3 linked regions of the Pelodiscus sinensis genome follow. The protein of the gene in region 2 interacts with the protein of the main gene of each other region in a biochemical or structural test. Links are inferred from orthologs where the notes say so. Each region holds a gene or a part of one and is shown on either strand. Other genes may lie near its edges.

The links.
Region 1: the proteins of SNTA1 (region 2) and RPS6KA1 interact in a test that uses a peptide from one of them, tested with the Homo sapiens proteins (2 studies listed by BioGRID and IntAct, with this or other methods). The link is inferred for Pelodiscus sinensis from reciprocal best matches to the Homo sapiens genes SNTA1 and RPS6KA1.
Region 3: the proteins of SNTA1 (region 2) and solute carrier family 2, facilitated glucose transporter member 3 interact in a test that uses a peptide from one of them, tested with the Homo sapiens proteins (2 studies listed by BioGRID and IntAct). The link is inferred for Pelodiscus sinensis from reciprocal best matches to the Homo sapiens genes SNTA1 and SLC2A3.

Annotation. Positions count from the first base shown.
Region 1 is NC_134735.1:2,049,238-2,056,831, reverse strand, and holds the start of RPS6KA1 (ribosomal protein S6 kinase alpha-1), read right to left. Parts: upstream 3,008-7,594; 5' UTR 2,913-3,007; coding exon 2,850-2,912; intron 1-2,849. UniProt on the Homo sapiens protein: Serine/threonine-protein kinase that acts downstream of ERK (MAPK1/ERK2 and MAPK3/ERK1) signaling and mediates mitogenic and stress-induced activation of the transcription factors CREB1, ETV1/ER81 and NR4A1/NUR77, regulates translation through RPS6 and EIF4B phosphorylation, and mediates cellular proliferation, survival, and differentiation by modulating mTOR signaling and repressing pro-apoptotic function of BAD and DAPK1.
Region 2 is NC_134728.1:33,977,892-33,985,896, reverse strand, and holds the start of SNTA1 (alpha-1-syntrophin), read left to right. Parts: upstream 1-4,990; 5' UTR 4,991-5,118; coding exon 5,119-5,389; intron 5,390-5,614; exon of another isoform or gene 5,615-5,752; intron 5,753-8,005. UniProt on the Homo sapiens protein: Adapter protein that binds to and probably organizes the subcellular localization of a variety of membrane proteins. May link various receptors to the actin cytoskeleton and the extracellular matrix via the dystrophin glycoprotein complex.
Region 3 is NC_134711.1:132,856,080-132,863,647, reverse strand, and holds the start of solute carrier family 2, facilitated glucose transporter member 3, read right to left. Parts: upstream 3,008-7,568; 5' UTR 2,789-3,007; coding exon 2,774-2,788; intron 1-2,773. UniProt on the Homo sapiens protein: Facilitative glucose transporter. Can also mediate the uptake of various other monosaccharides across the cell membrane. Mediates the uptake of glucose, 2-deoxyglucose, galactose, mannose, xylose and fucose, and probably also dehydroascorbate.

The sequences.
Region 1 (7,594 bases), on a different chromosome or scaffold from region 2:
TATCCAGCGCCCCTTGGTTCAGCCCTGGTCAGGGCCCGAGCGTGCTGGACTAGAGAGGTTCAGTTTGTAGTTCATTCGTTTTCTCATTCTTCCATCATAAGAAACAAACTTCACTTAGGAGACTGGTATCCAAACAGCCTGGACACAGGACTCCACCCCACCCCACCCCACCACAAACAAAAAACCCAACCCAGACGCCAGTTTCAGGCCAAATGCACAGCTCCAGCAAGGTTGACTCATTCAGCAGACAGGCAAGCTCCACACAACAGTGTTGTCTGGCCAGAGGGTTAGGCAGTAAATCCCAACCCTGCCAGCAGTAGGGCATGTCATGGACACTGGTATTTGATTTGAACTCCTGCGAGCGTTTGTAGGAAGTAATCTGGCACTATGAGGTTGTCTGATTTGAAAGGGGAGAAAAATGCGAACGTAAGCACTGTGGCACCGCCATCTTCCAACTCGTCACAAAAGTCAGCCCAGAAAGCACCGCACACTGCCAGGCATCAGGGTCAAATCAGTGTGGAACAAGGAACTCCTCCCTCTCCCACTCCTGTACACACATGCACCCTAGAGACCCACGCGCTGCTACTAACCAGCCCGGTGGGCTTGGCTGGCAAAGACGGGCCAGCTGGAACCCTGGCATGTTCTTGACAAAACATGTTTTGTCACTGTCATTGCTCGGTGGCGCCAACCCGGGGCCAAGGACTGAGAAGTGGGACCATCAGGAAAGACCTCGCCAGCGGCTACGTTAAGTGTTTGGGGCTGGCCTGTTTGAGCGGAACCTTGACTTGTGCAGCTGCCTGAGGCGAGAGAGTGGGGTGGCCGATTCTCAGCTCACATCTCAGCATAAAAGGGGAGCATCAGGGCCTGAGAAAAAGCAGCCGAGGAGTAAAGCAGCTGGGTCTAGCTCCCATTACTAGGAGCTCAGCCGCAGGGGACTGAGGAGCATTTACGCTGAATACCAAACACTTTATTTTCAATTTCCACAGCAGAAGCCTGCACCAGTGCTCGGTGGTGGCCCATGCACTAGCCTGTCCAGAGAAACACAAGGACAGGGTGACTCGGGGTGGCAATGTAAGCAGGAAGGGAAGGCGCGCGTGCGAGGGAGGAGTGCCTATGCGCAACAGAACACCTGGGAATTTTAGACACGTGCCCCTCCGAGCAATGGGTTCGAGACGTGCCAATGGGGAGGGGAAGCCGCGCAGAACTAATGTGGAGGTTCTGATGTGGGACTTTGGAGCGGTGACTGCATTTTCATCCACGTTTGGAAAGACCCTAGATCTAAACAGTGGGAGATTCAGAGAGAAGGGGAGAGTTCCCCCATTTCATTCTGCACTTCAGAGCATTTGCTGGGTTTAGTTAGGCTCCTAAAGGTTGCCAAGCCTGCAAACTAGATACTCCCCCATCCCTAAAAAAAGATAACCTAGGGTCATATATAGCATAAGGAGTGAGCAACACGCTGATCTGACAGATCAGTACAACGCATGCAGTCTAGCTGCTGGATGGTTTTCCAACAGCCCCTCAGGAAGTCGGATTAGCAGTGCGTGTGTGGCAAGAGTCTGACACACTTAAGAGAGAGCTGCAGACAAAAGACACTTTTGGGGGAAGTTAGTTCCGCTCTAAGGCTGAGGAAGTACAGGCAAGACAATCCTAATATCTGTGGTTTGTTGTTTTTATGTAGAACTTGAAGAACCTCCCCCAGGGGTTTGGTAGCACAAAGATTGCTCCAGGACTGACGCTAACCCAGGACTGGGCTGCACAGCCAGCTGTAAACCCACAAGGGGTCACCCCCAGAGGGGCACAGCAGGCTAAATCCCGCAGTGAGAGAGGCCAAATCAAGGCAGGGGATTACAGCTGGCAGCCCAGGGCAGCAGGCAAAACCCACAGGATTACCGGGAACCTGCCTCTTTGCTCCAATCAATCGCTCCAGTGAGAAGACCTGGAACCTGCTTGCAGACATGTTGATTGAATCAGGTGAGAAGTGGCTGCCCCCCCCTTCCCCAAAATGAACCGTCTCCGCGCCTGCGGGGCAGGGTGGGAGCAGAGAGGGGAGGTGCGGAATCCCCAATTGCATTCATCTGATCAAGTACGCGGCCGTGGTGGCTTTAATTAGCAGGCGAGCCTGGGGCAGGGCTCAGCTGCCAGACACCTCCGCGGGGTGAGGTGAAGAGGTGGGTGGAAAAGGAGACGGGGCACTTCCTCTGTTCGACGGGAAACTTTGGATGTGTGTGTAGACACAACACCCCTCCCCCACAGATACACACCCCCGACACACACACACCCCACGCGCGCACACACCGATACACAGATACACACAGACCCCCCCACATCCCATACACAGACACACTCACAGACCCCCCCACCCACAGATACACACTCAGACCCCCCCCACCCACAGATACACACACAGACCCCCCCATATCCCATACACAGACACACACTCAGACCCCCCCCACATCCCATACACAGATACACACACAGACCCCCCCACATCCCATACAGATACACACACAGACCCCCCCACCCACAGACACACACACTCAGACCCCCCCACCCACAGACACACACACTCAGACCCCCCCCCACATCCCATATGCACAGACTCACACACACTCCGGCACTTTCTGCTAAGCGCTGACCCCCCCCCCCACCGGGCTTTCCAGAGGAGGGGTAAAGATCCCGCCCGCCCCCCACCTCCTGGGGTCTCGCCCAGCCGCGTCTCTAGCTCAGCCCCAGCTCGGCAGGGGGGCGGGCAGGGGCTCCAGTGGCCTCCACCCCGCCGTGCAAGGGGCACCGGGGGGCTGCCCCCCCGCGCCCAGATCCCCCCCGCAGCGAGCCGGACCCCCCCGCACCTCCGGGTCCAGATGCACCAGCTCCATGTTGGGCCATGGGTCCGCCAGCTGGGCGAGCGGCATCGCGGCGGCGGGCGGCCCCGGGAGCGGGGCGGGCTGGCGAGACGGGCTGGGGGGCCAGCTCCGAGCCCCGGCACTCGCCGCGCCGCTCGCCGCCCTCCTTGGCCGCGCCCCCGGCGCCGCCCCCGCCGCCCCATTGGCTGCGGGGCCCCGCCCGGGCCGAGCCTGGGCTCGCCGCCCGCCCCCGGGGGCGCCCCGCAGCCTCCGCCGCAGGGGCCACAAACTCCCCCCGCCCTTCCCGGCTGCCCCCCCGCACCCCACCTCTGCCCCCTGCTCCGGGGGCCCCCAAAGGCTCCTTCCCAGGGGCTGCCCGGCCCAGAGAGACCTGCCCCCACCCCAGCGCCCCAGGGGGCTGTCAGGCCTCGGCACGGGGGGATGAAGAATCAGGCACCAGGGCCCATGCTGCAGCGCCAGGAGTGGCCAAAAAGGCCCCTTCCTGAGGAAAAGATGCAGCCTCAGTAGGTCCCCTCCATAGTCCTTGCCCCAGAGAAGGCCCGGCCTGAATGGGGGGCATCTGCTTTATAAGCCATGGGAATCGGCATCTGCGGAGTTGGGGGTTGTGGACCCCCATTGCGTATCTAGGACCTTGCCCATTTGCGGTTCTCTCCTTCCTATCCGTGGTTCTCCGCAGCCACGGGCCGGCGTGGGCATCTGAGGCTCATTTTGGGGGACACAGATGCAGATACAAATTGTGTTGCTATGCAGGGCTCCGGGCACAAACCTCTGGGTCAGAAGATGACAGAGTCTAATGGAGATGGCTAAATGTGGCTACATGTTTGAGACCAGAGATCAGACGTGGTCGTTCTGTTTTTCTGAAGTACTGGGGTGTCAAGGTCTTGTGTTTCCCACCTGATTTTCTGAAGGGAGTAAGAATGAAAGGTATTTTGCCTTCTCTTACGCCTGCAGCAGGTGGCCCACCACGATACAGCAACGGGCTCCAAATGTATGTCTGGTAGAGCTGTATCTTGATGTTTAGTGACAGTTTCTTGCTATCCCACAGGCACTTCGTCAGTCAACTGAAGGTGGTAGCAACCTTCCTTGTCATCTAGAGATCAATTATCTGATACCCACCAGAAAGGAGGTCACACCAGTGGTAGCAAGGCTGGGAAATGGAAAGAGGAAATGCTCAGGGTGGACAAAGGCTAAGTGGTTTATTCAAGGCCATTTGGCCAGTGAGTGTCAGAGACAGGATCTACAGGCAGGGATTTGTGGCTCTATCTACCTAAGTCAATCCACTAGACTAGGTTGCTCTACCTACCAAAGTACAGAAAAGAGACAGAACAGTCCCTTTTTTATTTCCCCTCCATTTGCTTGGTCAGAGGCTCCACAAGGGGAAAACTGGGGGCAGTAGTTTTGTATCTGAGTTTTTTCTAAAATATATTTATTTTTAACCAGGGCTGGGCTAAGCCATTTCTGAGGTGGAGGCTGGCTGAGAACAAGTGATAAGAGGGGATGAAGTCAGAGCTGATTAATCACTGGAACAACTTATCAAGGGATTCCCCATCACTGGAAGTCTTTAAATCAAAACCAGATGTTTTAAAAGCAAAAACATCCTTGTCCATGAGATAAGAACTCGATGCAGGAATTCCCGGTTAAAGTTCTATGGTCTGTGTTACACAAGAAGTATCGTTGGACTAGATTATCCTCACAGTGTCCGTGGGCCTTAAGATCTATGAATGTACAGACTTATATGTAGGAGGAAAAGGAGAATGCAAGGCCAAGGAATAAAGTTAGCAGAAGTGGAGGCAAACAAAGGTCAGAATCAAGGAAGGGGATAGAGGGTATGAACATGATTACCCAGCAAAATCACTTCTGTGGTCTGTCAGGCATTAAGCAGAAGGAAATAGAGGTGGAGCCTCAAGATTTCTTGGCCAAAATAGGCAGAGGGAGTACAGATCGAATCAACCTGTCAAAAGATACATACAATTGAAGACACGAAACAGGCCAGTATTTCAACATATGGTAGCACTATGGCTGTGTCTAGACTGGCCACTTTTTCCAGAAAAGCAACCGCTTTTCTGGAAAAACTTGCCAGCTGTCTACACTGGACTCTTGAATTTCCGCAAAAGCACTGACGATCTTATGTAAGATTGTCAGTGCTTTTGCGGAAATACTATGCTGCTCCCGTTCAGGCAAAAGTCTTTTTCCAAAAAACTTTTGCGCAAAAGGGCCACTGTAGACAACAGAGATTTGTTTTCTGCAAAAAAGCCCCGATCGCGAAAATGGCGATGGGGGCTTTTTTGCAGAAAAGCGCGTCTAGATTGGCCATGGACGCTTTTCCGCAAAAAGCGCTTTTGCGGAAAAGCGTCCTGCCAATCTAGACGCGCTTTTCCGAAAATGCTTTTAACGGAAGACTTTTCCATTAAAAGCATTTCCAGAAAATCATGCCAATGTAGACGTAGCCTATATGTTAAGACAAAGCTCAATGGTTGTGCATAGGCATTTACATGCATTGGGTGAGTAGTAATGATGGTCGGTGACAAGATCTTCCCTAATTAATATATACGAAAATATATATAATATATATAACTGAGCACTTATAGAAGGTACGGTATTCATGGGAGTCCCTGGATTCCTTACATTTTAAAGCCGCTCATGATTATGGATGGTTTTAAGCACTGTTTGTAACCTACTTTTATGTGTAGATATTTCTACTGGTAAAAGTGATTGACTGTAAGGAAGATTTTCAAAGGCACACAAAGTGCCTGCAAGCACCTGTGCCCAGCTGGAATGAACTCTCCAGCTGTTATGTGTCTCATGAAAAATCTTTCCCCTAAACTTTGAGTTGAGTTGTATGTGTGCTGCCTTCATTGTGTCTATAACACTGGAAAATACCCTAAGAAGAAGGGGGTTGTGAAGTTAAATTAGTGCAAGGCAGAATAGGCTAGTGATTAGAACAAGAGAGGGGCAGGCTGACAATCTGGGTTCAGTTTTCTTAGTCTGCCATTGTTCAACCTTGTGCAAGTCCCATTCTTCAGTTTCTCTATAAAGTAGAGACACTGACACATATCCAGTTTTGGGGGTTTCTAGGAGCTTTAGGAATGTAAGGTATTAATTAGAAATTGCTGTTCTTATCTGCTATCCCTCTGGAGTAGAAACATGTAACACTCTGCTCTTTTTGGTCCAACTTCTGCAAAACTACTTTTTGTATTTCATGATCAAACTGCTAGTTAAGTAAACAATATTTTTAAAGATAGGTACCGCTAAGCGTCAAACATAGTAATGGGGGAGCTAAAAGTATTCTCCTATTGCTTGTTAAGATGCAGCAACGTACAAAGCAGCAAAATACAGTTTCTGGTCCCAAAGCAGAAAATCGAAGGCCAGATCCTGCATTCTCCTTGGCCTGGGCAGACTTCAGGGGAGTAGCATTCGGTTAGCAGTGATCGCTTTTGAAAAGCCCACTCTCAATCTTCAGAGCCCTTTAAATAGACACTCACTGACTTCTAGATAAAAAAACAGGACTATGTAGCACTTTAAAGACTAACAAGATGGTTTATTAGGTGATGAGCTTTCGTCGGCCAGACCCACTTCCTCAGATCAAATAGTGGAAGAAAATTGTCACAACCATATATACCAAAGGACACAATTTTAAAAAATGAACCATGAAAAGGACAAATCAAATTTCAGAACAGAAGAGGGATGGGGGGGGGGAGATAAATGTCTGTGAGCTAATGATATTAGAGGTGATAATTGGGGAAGCGATCTTTGTAATGGGTAAGGTACAGGCAGTCCCCGACTTACGCGGATCCGACTTATGTCGGATCTGCACTTACAAACGGGGCTTTCTCGCCCCGGAGCTCACAGGCAGCGATCCGCCACCTCGACCTCCGGGGCGAGAAAAGCTGCTCACGGTGCCCCTGGTCTGCTGGAGACCGTCTCCAGCAGACCAGGGGCACCGTGAGCGAAGCCGCAGCAGCCAGAGCAAAGCCTCAGAAGCGCTGGAACCCGCCGCCGCTGCAGCTTCACTCACGGTGCCCCTGGTCTGCTGGAGACGGTCCCCAGCAGACCAGGGGCACCGGAGCGAAGCCGCAGTGGCGGCTGGTTCCCGTGCCTCTGAGGCTTTGCTAGAGCAAAGCCTCAGAGGCGCGGCACCCCGCTGCCGCTGCGGCTTTGCTCCCCGTGTCCCTGGTCTGCTGGGGGGGGGGGCGCAGCTAGTGTGCCCCCCCCAGCAGACCAGGCTTTTGTTGCCGGACCCTGGGGCAGAGCAGCTGGGGTGCTGCCGGTTGGTCCCGCAGCGCCGCTCTGGGCACTACTGGACCAACCCAGCAGCACCCAAGCTGCTCTGCCCCAGGCTTCCTGATTCAGCCGCTGCTGGTCAGTTTCAGCAGCGGCTGAATCAGGACGCCTGGGGCAGAGCAGCTGGGGTGCTGCTGGGTTGGTCCAGTAGCGCCGAGGAGCGGCGCTACTGGAGCAACCCAGCAGCACCCCAGCTGCTCTGCCCCAGGCGTCCGCAAGTCAGCTGCTGCTGAAACTGACCAGCGCTGACTACAGGAAGCCCGAGGCAGAGTTGCTCTGCCCCAGGCTTCCTGGAATCAGCGCCGATCAGTTTCAGCAGCAGCTGACTTGGGGACACTTGGGGTTCTTAAGTTGAATCTGTATGTAAGTCAGAACTGGCGGTCAGTTTCAGCAGCGGCTGAATCTGGACGCCAGTTCCGACTTACATACAGATTCAACTTAAGAACAAA
Region 2 (8,005 bases):
GTCTTCTGTTCTGATACAACATGTCAAGGCTGTTTCCCGCTTTGCACTTTGAGTGCAAAAGCAGGTGGGGGCCCACAAGAGACTTTAAAATACCTTGCCACTAAAGGCTTGCTTTAAACTTCCCAACGCTACAGATTCCTCTGCTTTGAACTGGCATCAGTGCCACCACTCAAACGCAAACACCCTTTGAGGACCCAGGAAGGCACGCCTGAGAATTCCTTCCTGTCAGGTACCCTTAAGCTCTTTTACCCTCTTTCTGGAGAGAGCTTGAAACCGAGCCGCTGAGATCAGCTGAAAATGGAACTTAGTTTCTCTTAATAGTTAGGCTGTGCAGTCTTAGGCACGTCCACACGGAACCTCCTGCCTTCTAGGACACAGGAATCAGATCAAGTTCTTGAAAGGGTGATTTTTATTTAAAAAAACCCAACACTTTTGGTAAGACATTGCTCAGTAACACCTGGCAGCCCAGCCACTGAAAAAGGATTAAAAACACTGAAGTGCTTCCCTGGGATTCAGCTTGGAAAGTTACAGTGTAAGGGGCTAGTTAAATGTGCTCAGCACAGAGAAATCCAACAAACCTGAAAATCGCCTGACTGGGTCTGACTAAACATTCCCTGTTCTACTCACATATCTGTAGTTTCAAGACTGAATGCTTCCGTGGGCATAGGTGTCGCTGGATTCTCCAGGCCTGGCTCCTTCCAAGGCCTCTGCTGTGGTCACACAGGAACAAGAAGGGCTGCTGCGTCCAATTCAAAAGTTCATACTCTTTTCATTGGTTCTCCTGGTCAATGTTCCCTCTCTTTCCCACCCTTGTGTGGAATAATTTTTTTCAAGTCCACCAAGGCCTGTGTGAATGTGCACCACTAGTAGAAACACAAACCTACTGTGGGCACTGTGCCAATCAGCTGGGTGGCATTTGACTCTCTCCTGAGAGGCCGCACAAGCACACAGCTTACAGGAAACACTGCTGCTGGTCTCTTGCCAACGCACGGCTTCCCTAAGCATTCCCGAGGGCTCTGGGACTCACTGTCTATGGTTTAATCCTTCTAGGCAAGGGTTAGGGTTAGGTCTAAAGAGTTACCACTACTCAGTAAAGACTTTAGCTAACGGAATGGCTGGAATGTCCGGAAAATGCTGCCTCCCCATTCACCGCAATAGCATTTCTAGAGTCATCCATGCTAAGGCTGTACGGGGCCACTGGGGCTAGCTAGGCTACCCCTGCATAACCCAGGCCGATGGGTTTCAGTCCTTCCCGCATTGGTCCCAGGACCAAAGTCTGAGCTTGTCTGAGCCCTGCGTGGGGAGGGCCAAAGCCAGAGCCCCACTGCCACGGCAGGGGGCCCAAACCTGGAGCCCAAGGGCTTGAGGCCTGGGCGAGGGGCTTGTAACCTGGGCCCTGCTGCCCAAGGCTGAGGCTGAAGCCTGCGCCCCACCAGCCAGGGCTTTGGCCTCAGGCAGTGGGGCTCAGGTTTCAGCTTCTGTCCTGGGCCCCAGCAAGTCTGAACACCAGGCTTGGAAAGCCCATTGAAGCAGGGTCCTGACCCGCAGTGAGAGCTGCTGATCTAGACCTACATGCAACAGTGCACTCAGGTAAAGGCCTGTTTGGGGGCATCCCTGCCTGGCCCAGGGGGCGGGGCCAGGGGGTATTGCTATTTGGGCACCTACATAGCTGCCAGATTTTCAAAAGAACTCAGCACCCACGCGGCACCCTTAAAAAAACCCGACTCACTTCGGTGCCTGAACAGGGCCCTGAACGATTGGAGATGGCGGCCCAAGGTATGAGATTCCCTTACCAGGTGACCCCCTCTCTTCCCCAGTATTTATTCATCCCTGCACCCCGATGCTGACTGGGAGTGCTTTCATGCCGGGCAGCATGGGAAGGGAAATCAGTTGCCGTCTGTCCAGAGGTCGCACTGCTCGCTCTGTTAAAAGTGCGCTTTGCTCGCGGGGGCAAGTCAATTCCAGCCTGGTGTGGGCTGGATGTTCAGAGAACCGCTGGTGAGCGGCACTAGGGCAGTCAAAGCCACCACGGGAGGGCTGCTTGGCAGGACCGCCTGCTGCGATCGCTTTGGCACGCCCAGAATCGGCTCCCTCCACACCTTCAGCGCAGCCTTTGCAAAGGCGGTCGGCTTTAAATGCTCCCTGTTCTTATACAGCCTCGGTGGGATTCTTGCCCAGAGATGTCTCCAGTTCTTGCAGTTTTATGAAAGAAGCAAAAGCTGGATACAGTCAAACCTGGCCGTGGGCCCCCCCTTTCCAGGTGTATTCTGCTTTGCTTTCCGGTTACATGGATCTGCTGAAGGCGGAGAGCAGGGATCGTTTGTGGCTGTATGATCCTGCTGGCATTCTGCTTTGCTCTCAGGCCTAGTTCAGGAGTCCTGTGGAGTCTCCTGTACAGCCATGAATTGTTTGCCTCCAGGAGAGGGAAAGCTCTGCTGGGGAGGGGCTTTGTGGACAGCTGCTTCTCCACATCTGTTCTGTCCTCTTTCCAGGCTTCAGGGGCAGGCCCTCTGTGCAGACTCCTCGGGGCCTGGCCTGGGGAAATTGCCAGACGAATACCTGGGATGCACACAGCATTTTTTCTAATACAAGGCCGGTCCCTAGGGATTCCTGTCTCAAAGAACTGAAAACACGTGAGTGAATTGACCCGAACGTTCCTGTGAGGCAAGTGACTATTAGCCTAATTGTATAGCTGGAGAAACAACAGCACCAGGAGAAGGTCCGGGTCCTCCAAAGAGCTTAGGGCACTGTGTATTCATTTGCATGGAATATAGGGCCCAAAGGTGTTAGGCTGTGTCTACACTGGCAGCTTCTTGTGCAAGAACCCTTCCAGAAGAGAGCGTCTGCACTGGCATGTGCTTTTGCGCAAGAGCATCCATGGCCGTATGGACGCTCTCTTGTTCAAGAAAACTCCGATGGCCATTTTAACCATGGGGCTTTCTTGCGCAAGAAATTCATGTTGCCTGTCTACACTGGCCTCTTCTGGAAGAGCTCTTGCGCAAGAGGGCTTCTTCATGAGCGGGAGCATCAGAGTTCTGGTGCAAGAAGCCCTGATTTCATACAGTAGAACGTCAGTTTACTTGCGCAAGAACACGCGGCCAGTGTAGACAGGCAGCAAGTTTTTGCGCAAGAGCGTCCGCTTTTGCGTGAGATCGCGCCAGTGTAGACACAGCCTGAATGCATCAACCAGGCACTTGACCAACATTAAATGGTTTCAAATAAGGGTTGTGGGTTGGGGTACGCCAGCGGCCACCAGCCAGTAGACTGGGATCTATTGGTAGATCCCGGAGCCTCTGGCAGGTCATCCTGACCGGTTTGGCCGGGAGGCTCTCAAGCACTAGCTCTTCAGCTGCCCCTCTCCGCTCAGCCACTGCTTCTGCCCTCTGCCTTGGAGCTGTTCCCTGGGAGTGTCCTGCTGGCTGTGCAGGGTAGGAGAGGCAGAAGAGGGGGTGCTGTCAGGGTGTCCCCAACCCTGTACCCCAGCTCCACAGAGTGAGCAGGGTGGGGCCTTGGAGCCCGGGCGGGGTGAGACTACAAAGCAGCCCAGGTAGAGTATGTGAAATATAACAAAAGGATTTTATTTGATTTTTTTTAGCTGGGGAGAGTTTCTAGGAGGAAAATCCTCCTGGTCCAGTTTTAGATGTGTCAGAGCTGGCAACAAATGTCAACAAATGTTTGGGGGACGGAGAAGAACTGAGGTGAGATGGGTTGCTGCTGTAATAGTCCCATCGCATTTCCTAACATGAAAACACACACACAGGGGAAGGGAGAACACAGCTTCTGCCCCTGCTGGTAACTTTCACTCGCAGCCTCACTGCCCAGCATGGGATCCTCTTAGTCACTCCGAGGCCTGGCAAACTTGCCCCAGCATCAGACTGTTTAGATCATAGCTTTTAGCTGCCTTTTTTTGGTCACAGGCTTAAAGCAAAATATGTAGTCTTGGCCGGGAAAGCGGGACAATCCTTAGACAGAAGGAAAAAAGGGCAGGGTCAGGAAAGAGAAGAAATAAGAAGGGAAAGGACAATAGTAGGGGAAGAGACACAAAGCCCCTCACGCCAGGCCTTGTTGGGGTTCAGCTGGAAGTGATGAGGTCATCTGGGTCCTTCTCTGTCTGCTCAGGACACCCTTCCGCCTACCACAAAGACCTTCCAACTCTCAGGTGACCAAGTGGGGTGGCAGCCACAAGGGAGCAGCTCACTTTTTTCATTTCTCTCCTCTCCCAATGGGTCCAGGACTGTGAGAGCCTCCAGCTGTTGGTTCCTACAGTCTCCTTTAAAAAAAAAAAAAAAAGCCCCCAAAGGAGCACTGGGTGGCACAGCCCATCCTTTTAGCACTTTGTTCACCAAGAGGGTTAATGTCCGACACCAATTTCCGCACCTTGCGTACTGGTATTAGCTCTCAGGCCTGGGTTCAGTCTTGAGCTATATTAGTTGGCCTTTTGGCTTGTGCTCTGCCTTTTGCCTTCCTCCCTGTGACATTTATTGCAGCAGGTGACTGTGATAATTTAGCAACTTTCACTCACGTTTCACAGCGGAGCTTACACTGGGGTAAATGTGCAGGGCCCATTATTACAACAGCTTCTACCGCCACTGAAGGCCACGGGGGCTGACAGTTTCCTGAGTCTTTAAAGTGCTACCAGACTATGTGCTGGTTTTAAGTTTCCTTTAGCATTTCCAGGGTTGGCCAGGCAGCTAAAAGCGGACGGGGCCGCGGACCCAAGAACCCCAAGTCCCAGTGCCCTGCCCCCCTGCCCTGAGCCTTTGTCTGTGGACATCTGGACAAGCTCGCCCGGGTTCTGCCTGCGTCTAGCCCTAGCGGCCACCTGATGCTCGGCTCGGGAGGGAGCTGCCGGCCACGGGAGGGGGTGGGGGCTCGGGTCTTGGCTGCTGACACCGGCCCCCTGCCCGAGAAGCGGCGCGGCTCCGAGGGAGGGTCCGGGCGGTGCTGCCGCGGCGCGGGGAGGGGAGAGGCGTGTCCGGGGGCGGCTCCCTGGGCGGGGGCGTCTGGCGGGCGGCCCATGTGCCCGGCACCGCCGGGGGCGGCGCCCGGGGTGGCTGGGTGCCCGGTGCCCCCCTCGGGCCTGGGAGGCGGCGCAGCTGTCCCAGGAATGCGCTGAAGATGGCGGCCGGCAGGCGAGCCCCGAAGAGCGGGCTGCTGGAGCTGCGAGCCCCGGGCGAGCACTGGCTGCGGGTGCTGCTCACGCTGGCCGAGGACTTCCTGAGCCTGAGCCCCGCCAAGGGCGCGGGGGCCGAGGAGCCGCCGCCGCCCGGCCCGGCGCAGCTGAACGGCGGGGAGCCGTGCGCCCAGGTGCCCGAGGCGCTCGCCAACGTGCGGCGCACGGTGCGGATCGTCAAGCAGGACGTGGGGGGGCTCGGGATCAGCATCAAAGGTGAGGGGCGCGCGGCGCCGCGCTCAGCCTGGCTCCGGGCTCTGCCCGCGGCCCCGAGCCGCCCGGGGAGCTGGCTGGTGCCTGCCCAACTTCGGCGCCTTCCCAGGGCGGGGCGCGGCGGCAGGTTCTGCCCCGTGGCGCCGGGGCCCCGGCGGTAGCTCGGGCGCATCAGCCGGGCGGGCGGCGGCAGCTCCCGGCCCAAGTGCACAGCCCGGGCCCTGCTCCGCGGGGCTTCCCACGCGCGAGCAGCGCCCCGCAGCCGGGTGCCGGCGGTGGGCAGGTGCGCCAGGCGTGGCCGGCTGGAGACGCGGTTCCCTCGACTGGGCTGGCGCGGGGCGGGGCGGGTGTGAGCATTCCTGCAAGGTGAGTGTGAACCGGAAAGTGCCCTGAGTGGGCAGTACCTCGGGGGGAGGGGCGGGCCAAGAATTTGGTGAGTGGCCGGGGGCTGCGCTTTTCATCAAGGGCGCCCTTGGGCGCGGGAGGGGGCTGGGTTCAGGCCTGGGGCCGGGCTGCAGTGGGGGTTGTGACTTGGGGCAGGGTGTTGGGGTCCATGAGGGGGTACCAGGTGCAGGCTCTGGCTGGTAGGTGCTTACGTTGGTGGCTTTCAGCTGGTGGCCTGTGGGACTGTCAGGCAGGCTCCTTGCCTGCTATGCCCCCCCCCCCCCCACACACACCGTGGCTGGCTGCTGTGGCCAGTGTGTGTGTGTGTGTCTGCATGGTGGCCCCTTGGAGGGGGTGCAGGGTCTCCACGTGCTGCACGTCCCCACAAGCACTGCCCTTGCCATGCGGAGTCACTGGCTTCAAGAATGGGAGGTTTTGAGCTGGAGGTGGGGTAGGCAGCCAGGGAGCCTGCCCCAGGGTCCCGCTGGGTCGCAGCTGGCTGCAACCAAATGTTTGGGGCTGGATTTTGCCCACCCTGGAGAAAGCGAGTGCATGGAACGTGTCTAAGCAGGGTTGGGTTGGATTGAACAGAAAGGTTAAATTGGCGGGGGTGGGAGTGGGGGAGGGGGAAGAATTATTCTGTACTAAGCTATTCCCTGGAATGTAAAGGAGCTGAGCAATGTTCTCCCCCTACATCCCACGTAGTTCAGGTCAAGTCACATTCGCTGTCTTTTCATTGTTAATTTTGCTGTGGTTGTGTGTTTCCCCACTGGGATGCTTCTGTTGCTGAGGTCGAAGGATGTTTTCACATTCTTTTGTTGGCATTGCAGCCTGGAACAGAATTCTGTGTCAAAATGCCGTCACCCATCCAAATGTCCATACGTAAAACCCCATGATTCATTGCACTGAATGAGTCTTGCAGGTGCACCATTTCAGAATATGGGGGGCGGGGGGCAACCTGTATGTGCCAGGATGGGTGGGGCAGAGAGAGTGAGAGCAGGAGAGGCAGGCAGACTGAGGACAGCAGCTTCAGCAGTACAAGCTAAGCACCAAATGGGGGGGGAACCAATTACTTCTGCCCTCCCCCCAACCCCACGTAATCTCTATCTCAGGGCTGCTAGGGCACGAGGAAACTGCTTTTTCTGGCAGACAACTTAGCAGGTAGCAGGAGCACTGTATCCAATTCCTATATAAAAGAAAGAAAATAAATATTAGCCCCACTCAGCTCTACCACTAACGTATTCTGATAACTTGTGGAAAGTTGCTTAAGGGACACTGGTTGGCTGGAAATGTGAATGTCTGTTCTTACTTTACTAACTTTGGGGAGAAAGACCGACCCCGTCAGGACTCCTGGGCTCTCTCAGCTTGGGAAGGGGAGTGGGGTCTAGTGGGTTACAGCAGGAGGCAGATATTTAGGGGCTGAAATGTAAGAACATCAGACTGGCCAGACTGGGTCAGACCAAAGGTCCTTCTAGCCCTGTATCCTGTCTGCCGACAGTGGCCAGCACCAGGTGCTTCAGGAGGAATAAACAGATTAGGCTTCATCATGATCCATCCCCTGTTGCCCCTTCCCAGCTTCTGACAAACAGAGTCCAGGGACACCATCTCTGCCCATCCTGGCTAATAACCAGGGCTCGACAAACTGGCGAGAGCTCCTCACCAGGCCTGCACCGTGCATGCACGAAGCGCCGGTGAATGGGGCGCACGGAGCGACCGGCTGCAACCTACTCACCTGGGCAAGTAGAAACAGCGGCTTGTGGAGACCTGCTAATCACCATTGATGGACCCGCCCTCCTCGATCTTAGTGTGTTCTTATTGCAACCCTGTTACAGTTTGGACTTTCCCATCATCTGGCAAAGAGGTTCCACAAGGGCTTTGTAGACCTTTCAAAGTTTTGGCCCAAGCGAGGGGGCTTGGGGGCGTCATTTGAGCTCCCCGCCTCGGGTGCCAAAATGTTGTGGGCCGGCCCTGCCCACCCTTTAGTCATTTCTTTTCCAAGCTGAAGAGCCCCCGTCTTGTTGATTTCTCCTCCGATGGAAGCTGTTCCTTACCCCTGATCATTTCTGTTGCCCTTTCTCTACCTTTTCCATGTCCAATAGATCTTTTTGTAGCTGGGGTGACCAGATCTGCATGCAGTGTTCAAGATGTGGGCATACCGGGCTTTATATAGACACAATATGGGATTTTGTCCTCTTATCTATTCCTTTCCTAATGCGTCCCGACGTTCAGTTAGCT
Region 3 (7,568 bases), on a different chromosome or scaffold from region 2:
ATCAGGATCTCAATTTTCTTTAAAGTAAAAAGTACATTTCCTGCTCCGCTCCAACTTGCCGCCCTCTCCCAGTCTGTGGATGCTGACCAAAGCTGGGACCCATGGGAACTCTAAGGGTTCAGAAACCAGATACCAAATATAAAATGTCCAACATTTTTCATTGTTTAAAATGCCAGTTTTGGGGTGCTGACTCATAATTTTTCAATGCTTTAAGCTGGCAACACTTATGTAGTTCCATCCTTAATACCCTACCCTGGTTTCTCATTCGCTGGGATCACTACCAAAGGTGTGAACAATGTGCATTCCAAGTCCAAGTTGTCACTGTCTAAGACCAATGAGGACTGGGAACCCCATGGAGACTAGTGTAGTACCACCACTCCCAATTTCTGATTCCCTCTCCTGGGGCCAACACAGACTGGGAGTGCTACCAAGTCAGAACTGGTCCCTTCCATGCAGAGATAGAGAAGACTCACATTTAGCACTCTCATTCCCTGGGGGCCAATGGGTTCTGAAAAGGCCTGGGCTAGCTTAGTGCCACTTAGAAGGTTGTTGGATGCAGAGGTTTTCAAGGGGCACTGGTTAGCACGTCACTGCCTCACATCTATGCAGAGTCCATAGGCCCTGCACTTTGTGGGGTCCCACGGCAGCCACCTCAACCATCCTATGGGTGGGACCCAAGGGATTACATTAGGGGAGGGGTCTGGCATGGGGAGCCCTCCTACTCCCACTCACTGCAGTGGCAGGAGCTAGAGCAACCAGGCAGCTTGCTCGGCTCCAACCTGTCACCCTTTCCCAGCCTGCTGAGCTCCATTTCACCATGGCCACAGTGAATTCAAGAGCTCAGTGGGCTGGGAGAAGGCCGTGGGGTTGAGTGGCTCACGCTGCCAGGCCACTGTGGCTCCCACCATAGTGGTGTATAGAGGTGGAGGAGGGCTGACTCCTGCTGCTGCCCTGCGCATCACTCGGGGAGGGGGCTTTGGGCAAGGAGGTGGGTCGGGGCAGGAAGGGGCAGAGCAGGAGCAAAGCTTGGGGGAAAGGGTGGAATGGGGACAGGGACAGTCCTATGGGTGAAAGGCTACTCTTGGCCCTATGCCTGGGGCACTGGGGAAGGGGTTGCCCAGGCCCCGTGCCCCCCGCTCCTCCAAGACGGCCTTGCCTATTTGAATGGATTTATCCTCACAACACCTTTATGAGGTAAGAATTATTATTCCCTCCATGTTACAGATGAGGAACCGAGGTACAGAGAACTGTTACAGTGTGTGTGGGAACAAAACCATTTTTTCAGTTCAGTGCTTTAACCAAAAGAGTATCTTGCATTGTCATGTCTTACTCAATATCCAGGCCTGGTCTCCAACTCCACCGGACCCGTCAGGGCCCTACACAGCATAGGCATACTTTGCTCACATAGTACATACACACATACTATATATAGTATAGCTCTCCTGTGTTCTATACCATGTTCCCTGCCTCCTGCCTTTTCTCATCTATTACTTAGTGTTGCACAGCCAGTCTCACCCTCCAGCATACATTACATGGTCTCACCCCATCCAATCCTATAGCGAGTTGGACTATGATCTGTTGTGTATTCTCTCCAGCCAAAGAGCTCAGAAATACCAGGCCGGGATCTACACAAACCATGGTGGCAGGGTTGAGGATTAGACACTGGCGGGGAATTCAAAATCCCACCCATACCCCTCCCTCTCACAACTGGCGACAAGGGTATCTGACATTTCCCCTCAGTGTTCTCTTTTTTTACTGGCTGGAAACCCATTGATGTATCACTCAGTGACCTCAACTGGGGCCACTTCTTTACTCTCCTTTAACGACCTTGACTGGGATGCTTGTTCAGAGCTCCCTCCCTCATGCCCTCACACTGTCCTCTTCTCCCAGGAAAAAGGGAAAGAAAGGGTTGGCTTTATAAGCTGATGGCTATATGAATATCCCTAAAATAGTAGTAACCCCTAGATATTCTTCAATGAGGATATCAATCAGTTATTTAATGACACTCAACCTTCCTCACTTTCTCTTCCCCAGCCACCATTGCCTGATTTTTTCCTTGATGCTTTTAAACACATGCAATTAATTAGTTCACTCATTAATACGCACAGCACACATAGACACACATCAATAATACTGTCCACAAAGGCTCTCTAGCCTGCTGGCTCAGTGTTGTGAGCGGGACTAAGCCTGCCATGTTCTCTTGGTTGAAATCCAAAGGCTATTCATTTCAAAAACCTAGAGGAATTGTCAAATTCTTATCATGAACACATTGTCCTCCTGGTCAACCTGAAGACAAATGGCTCCTCTTCGGCCAGCACAACAGATCTCATGCCAAATAAAACGACGACAAGGAAAGTAATACTTTTAAAAACTACAACCCTAAAAATATGAACAACCGAATGCCATGACTTGCAACAATCCTACATAAATGTCTTCACCTCCCCCTAATGTGCATTCTCAGTCCCATCCTTAAATAATAATCGCACATGCAAGTTTAGTGCTTGATTTTAGAGCTTTCATCTTCTCAACACAACAACAGAAAGTAGTAAAACCCAGAGTAATAATAATCAAACACCATGATGTTATCTAGAAAGCCACATTCTGCAAAGGGTTGCCTTATGGTTCAAAACATTTTCAACAAGAGGCCAAAGGTTTCACAAACCAGACAAATTGGGTAGCATTAACCCAGAGTTTATAAATGATGGATGAACACATGCAACGGCATTCAAATAGGTTAAAATATAAATGGTAGGAGGAAAAGATCTGCTGTTACCTTTTTGCTCTCCATGGTCCTTGGCAAATGCCTCGAAGACACTGCAACACCACTGCCCCCTTCTTAACGAAGTCGCTGAAGATCCCTTAGATGCTGTGTAATTGTTTCCCACAACAGAATATCTGAAAAGGTCGCTGTAATTTTTTTTGCTCTGTGCAATTTGCAATATCTCTCTGCTTAGAAGCTGCTTTAGAGCAATCTATTTATGGCTTCTGTGGGAGGTGCGAGTGAGCCAGTCAAGACCCCGCCCAAGTCCATAATAAGCACAAAAAAAATAAAAAACAGTCTTGTGACCCTGCACAGTTTTGTGACTTCACTGGAAATTTAGATAAGACAGTTTCCTTTCTCCTCTTAAAAGGCATATGTGTGTATGAGTCTGAGCACAGCCCTTCTTACGTTTCACAGATACAAACCCCCAAAACATTCCTCAGGAGGGCAGAAAATGTTCGGCTCCAATTTTGATGGCTTCTATTATTTAACTCCAAATAGCATTTTAGAAAGGAGGGGTGAGGATTTAGCATGCTATTGGTGCCATGAAAATCTATAGCAATAAAATTATGATGCTTTGTGTAAAAAGCTCCCTATACACTAATGTTGCACTGTGTTCAGAGATGGCAGCTAGCTAGAGAGAGAGAGAGAGAGGGTATGTCTACACTACAGCATTATTTCGAAATATCTTATTTTGAAATTATATGTCTAGACACTAAATGCATTTCAAAATAGTGCATCCACACTGATAGGATGCTGAATTGCATTTAAGGCCATCCGGAACCTGTTCTGGCAGGGCATCAGCTCAGGAGTTACCTTGCGTGGCTGCTGCCTGAGACTATCTGAGACCTGTGCTTGAAGGGACCCCCCTGGACAGCCAGTTCTCAGGTTTCCCTGCTTGCTTGCCTAGCTCCCTGAGGGACAGCAAAGCATTTTCTTTCTCTGTAAGCTCTGATTGCCCGCACTCAGTACACCACAGCACTCTGCAATATGGAGCCAGAGCCGCCCCTGGGCACTCTGGTGCTTCTCCTGGACATGTTGCTGTGAGCCTGGAAGCACATTCTGCAGGCAGTAACAGTCTCCCTGGTGTGCCCCACTGGGGGCTTGTGCCTCATTCCTCCCTCACATCCTTCCACTTACCCCTCCCTAACCCCCCTTCCTGCTGTACAATAAAAGACACGTGTTCATTACAACAAAGCCTCTTTATTGAACAAAACTGGGGTGAGGGGGAATGAAACTGAGGTGAAACTGGGGAAAGAAGGTGGGAGAGGGGAGGAGGAAGAGTGGGAGAGGGGAGGGGGAAACCTGGGAGGAGGGAGCTGGCAGGGGGAAGCAGGGGGAGGAGAAACTCAGGGCTCAGGGTTGGAGGTCTCGCCAGTCCAACTGTCTCCCAGCACCGCAGGTGCAGGGGCCTCGGCGTCCCTGGGGGGGTGGGAAGGGTGTGGAGGAAGAAGTGGGAGGAGGAGAAGGAGTGGGAGGAGGAGCTGGGGAGGCAGCAGAGGTTGGAGCAGCAGGAAGCAGCAAGCTCTGCACCAGGGTCTGCAGGTGCTCATAGATGGCATGGCCCTGGGCAAGCTGCTCCTGCCAGAGCTGCAGGTCTTCCTGCACCCAGTGGTCAAGGGTGCGGTGCAGGGCTCTCAGTGCCCCCAGGTGCTCCACTGTACGGGAGGATGTCCCAGGCGGGGTGGTGCGCCCTGCACTCACAGCTGGTGTGGTTGTGGAGAAACAAGAGAAGTGGTCAGTTCTCCCTGGAGACACAGGGTGAAGCCCAGCCCCTCTCTGCAAGGTGAGGACGACAGGTCTCCGCACCATCAGAGCCGATGTGCTTGCACAGAGGCCATGTTCGGGATGTCCTGCTATCCCCAGGAGTGTGAGCTGCCCCGGGACTACATCCATGCCCCTGTGCTGTATATAGTGTGGGTGTGTGTTGGGGAGGAGATGTCCCCTGTCTCTGTATAGAGGGGGCTTGTGAAGGGAGGGCGTCCTGCTGTGTCCCACCCTGGGGTCAGGAGCATGTCATGTGTCTTCACACACTCGTAAGTCAAAATAGCTTATTTCAGCATTAGGCACTGTCTACACAGCAGGAACCTGAAGGAAGAACAATCTTCCTTTGACTTCCCTTACTCCTTGTAAAATGAGGGTTACTGTAGTCGGAGTAAGAAGTCCTCTAGCTCGAGATTATTTTGAAATAAAGGCTGGCAGTGTAGACACGCTGTTTATTTGGAATAAACATCAGTTATTCCAAAATAACGCTGCTGTGTAGATGTACTCAGAGTAGGCCAGGCCAAAGAGTTTGCGGGGCCCAAGGCAGCATGTTGTGGTTGGCTGCACTGTGTGGCCGGGCAGCTCCCAGCCAGGGCAGTGAGCAAGCTGCCAGGTGGCCGGGCGGAGGGCCCTGAAGGTGTGGGGACCAAGGCAACTGTCTTGCTCACAGGGGCGGATATAGGGCAGGGCGAACGGGGCAGTCGCCCCAGGCCCCGTGCTTCAGAAAGCCCCGCGCATGCGCCGTAGCAAAGGGGGGGCCCCGCGGAATTATGATGCCCAGGGCCCCGCGAAACTGTCATCTGCCCCTGCTTGCTCACCTTGCCCTAAGGCTGGGCCTGACCGAGAGAGTTTGTGTGTAGGGACTTGTGCTTTCCCTGGAAAATATAGTAACTTCCATTGTTGAGGGAGAACAGGGAAACATGGCAAGGAAGAGAAAGGATAATGGACAGACAGAGGAGAGGAGAGGGAAAAGATCCTAGTACTTAGACAGCATGGTGATTAGAGACAGAGTGTGGAAGAGCAGACAAGCAGAAGAGAGAATAATAGGGAGATAAAAGGAGAAAGAATAAAGGAGGGGAAGAAAGAAAAGGGGAAAAATAAGAATAGTTGAATCAGAAGGAGGTGGAGAAGGAAAAGGAGGAACAGAGGAGGGGGTGGAAGTGGAGAGGAGAGAAGTGATAATAGAAAGAAGGACATGTAGAGAAAAAAATGGATGTGGAAGAATGAGAGCAAAAAGGATGCCAGCAGAACAAACCAGAGGGAGAGAGAGCTCTCCCTGTTTTCAGACAAAGTGAGTTAGCAGAATACCTAAACCCAAAGAGCATTACCACTGCACCGACACTGCACATTTCTATAATGACGGAAAGAAGCACCCAGCAACATGTAAACAAGCATGAGGTCTGCAGAGCCTTGCACAGGGCTTGCCAGGAAACCACAGTCAAAGTGAGGCCGCCCTCAGAGTGACGATACTGACCGCTTTCCGAATGCCACTCTCTGCTACGAGTGAAACGTGACATTGACCAGAAGGTCATCTGAGGTTCTTTTTCCCTCTCAATTCTCCAGGCCTCTTCTTCTTTGATTGCCCTAATTGGAAAAGGCTCCTTCTTAGCATCTAGGGCACAAGCCTAATTTTTCCTGATTGACGTTGTCAGGGCAACCAGGCCTAGTAGCAAAAAGAGAAGGGGAGGCCTGGAAGCAGCAACTGTGTGTTACAGGCTGATATCTCCCCTCTTTGTCTGTCCCTCTTCAAGCCCTCTCTCTCCCCGGCATGTCTCCCTCCCTCCCCATTTATTTGCATCCTGCAATCCATCTAATCTGTCTATCTATCACTTATAAAAAGTACTACGGCACTCCAGTATTGGTCCACCCCATTCCTTCTCCAACAGCAATACTGTAATGTTTGGGGGTGATTATTGGAGAATATGAATCTTAGAGGGGTAGCTGGGTGAGTCTGTAACTGAAAAAACTTAGAAAACAACAAATAGTTCTGCAGCACCTTAGAGACTAACAAAACATGTAGATGGTGTCATGAGCTTTCGTGAACACAACCCACTCCTTCAGATGACTGGAGTTAAGAGGTTAAGGGGACAAATAAATAGCAGAGAAAGAGAGGCAGTGGGGAGGGAAAGAGGTGGAAAAAAATAGGAAAATAATTGTCAGGGTGTCCATGCTAAATGAGGTTAATAGAGTGGGCAGCAAGTACCTAATGCTTAGCTTTTAATGTAATTAGGTTGTGGAATACATTAGTGTTATTTATGTAAAAGAAAAGGACCCTTCTCTCTGGTATATGTGTGAGAGGTTTTTTTCTCTATTTCTGCTACTTTTTATATCCTTTTCCATTTGTCTCTGCCTCTTTATTTCCCTCTTTCAATTTAAAGCAATAAGCGCAGTCCCTGTGAATGGAAGGCGCTGACCAACAAGGCCATAACCAGGGCAGACTGAGCAGGGCAGTGGCCCAGGGTGCAAAACCAGGGCAAACAGCAAATGATGACTCCATATGGGTAAGACCATGCTACCTGGCATTGCTGCTCACCCAACATCCCATTTTTACGTTAGAGAAATACGGTCACCCTAAAACAATTATGGGGGGGAAAAGGGAGGGGATACAAATGTACTTGCTTACCCCAGATTTTAAAATGCCTAGTTACGTCTCTGTTTCTCAGGCTAAATTCCTGTTGGTGTCGGGCTGTGAAAAGCATATAAGCTGCACAGAGGGGCTAATGGAAAGGGGGAGCGGCAGATAATGCATCTGAGGAAGAGTAAATTGGCAATGGAAAAGGTGGCATGAGCGAATATCACAGAAATGAGCATGACAGGTTATGATAGGCATGAGTGACAGGTAAATCATGGCAAGGATTGCACTCCACACTTCAGACCTCAGGATAGGGGTAGCGGGGGGGACAGCTAGAAACGACTGAAGGGCTTTGGCAAAGCTGTATGGGGAACCTATGTCTGGAATAGCAGGGGGGCTGCAGGGCAGAAGGGAGGGGCACTGACAGCTGTTTGGGGAGGGGGTTGTGTTTATACATCAGCTGTTTCTTCT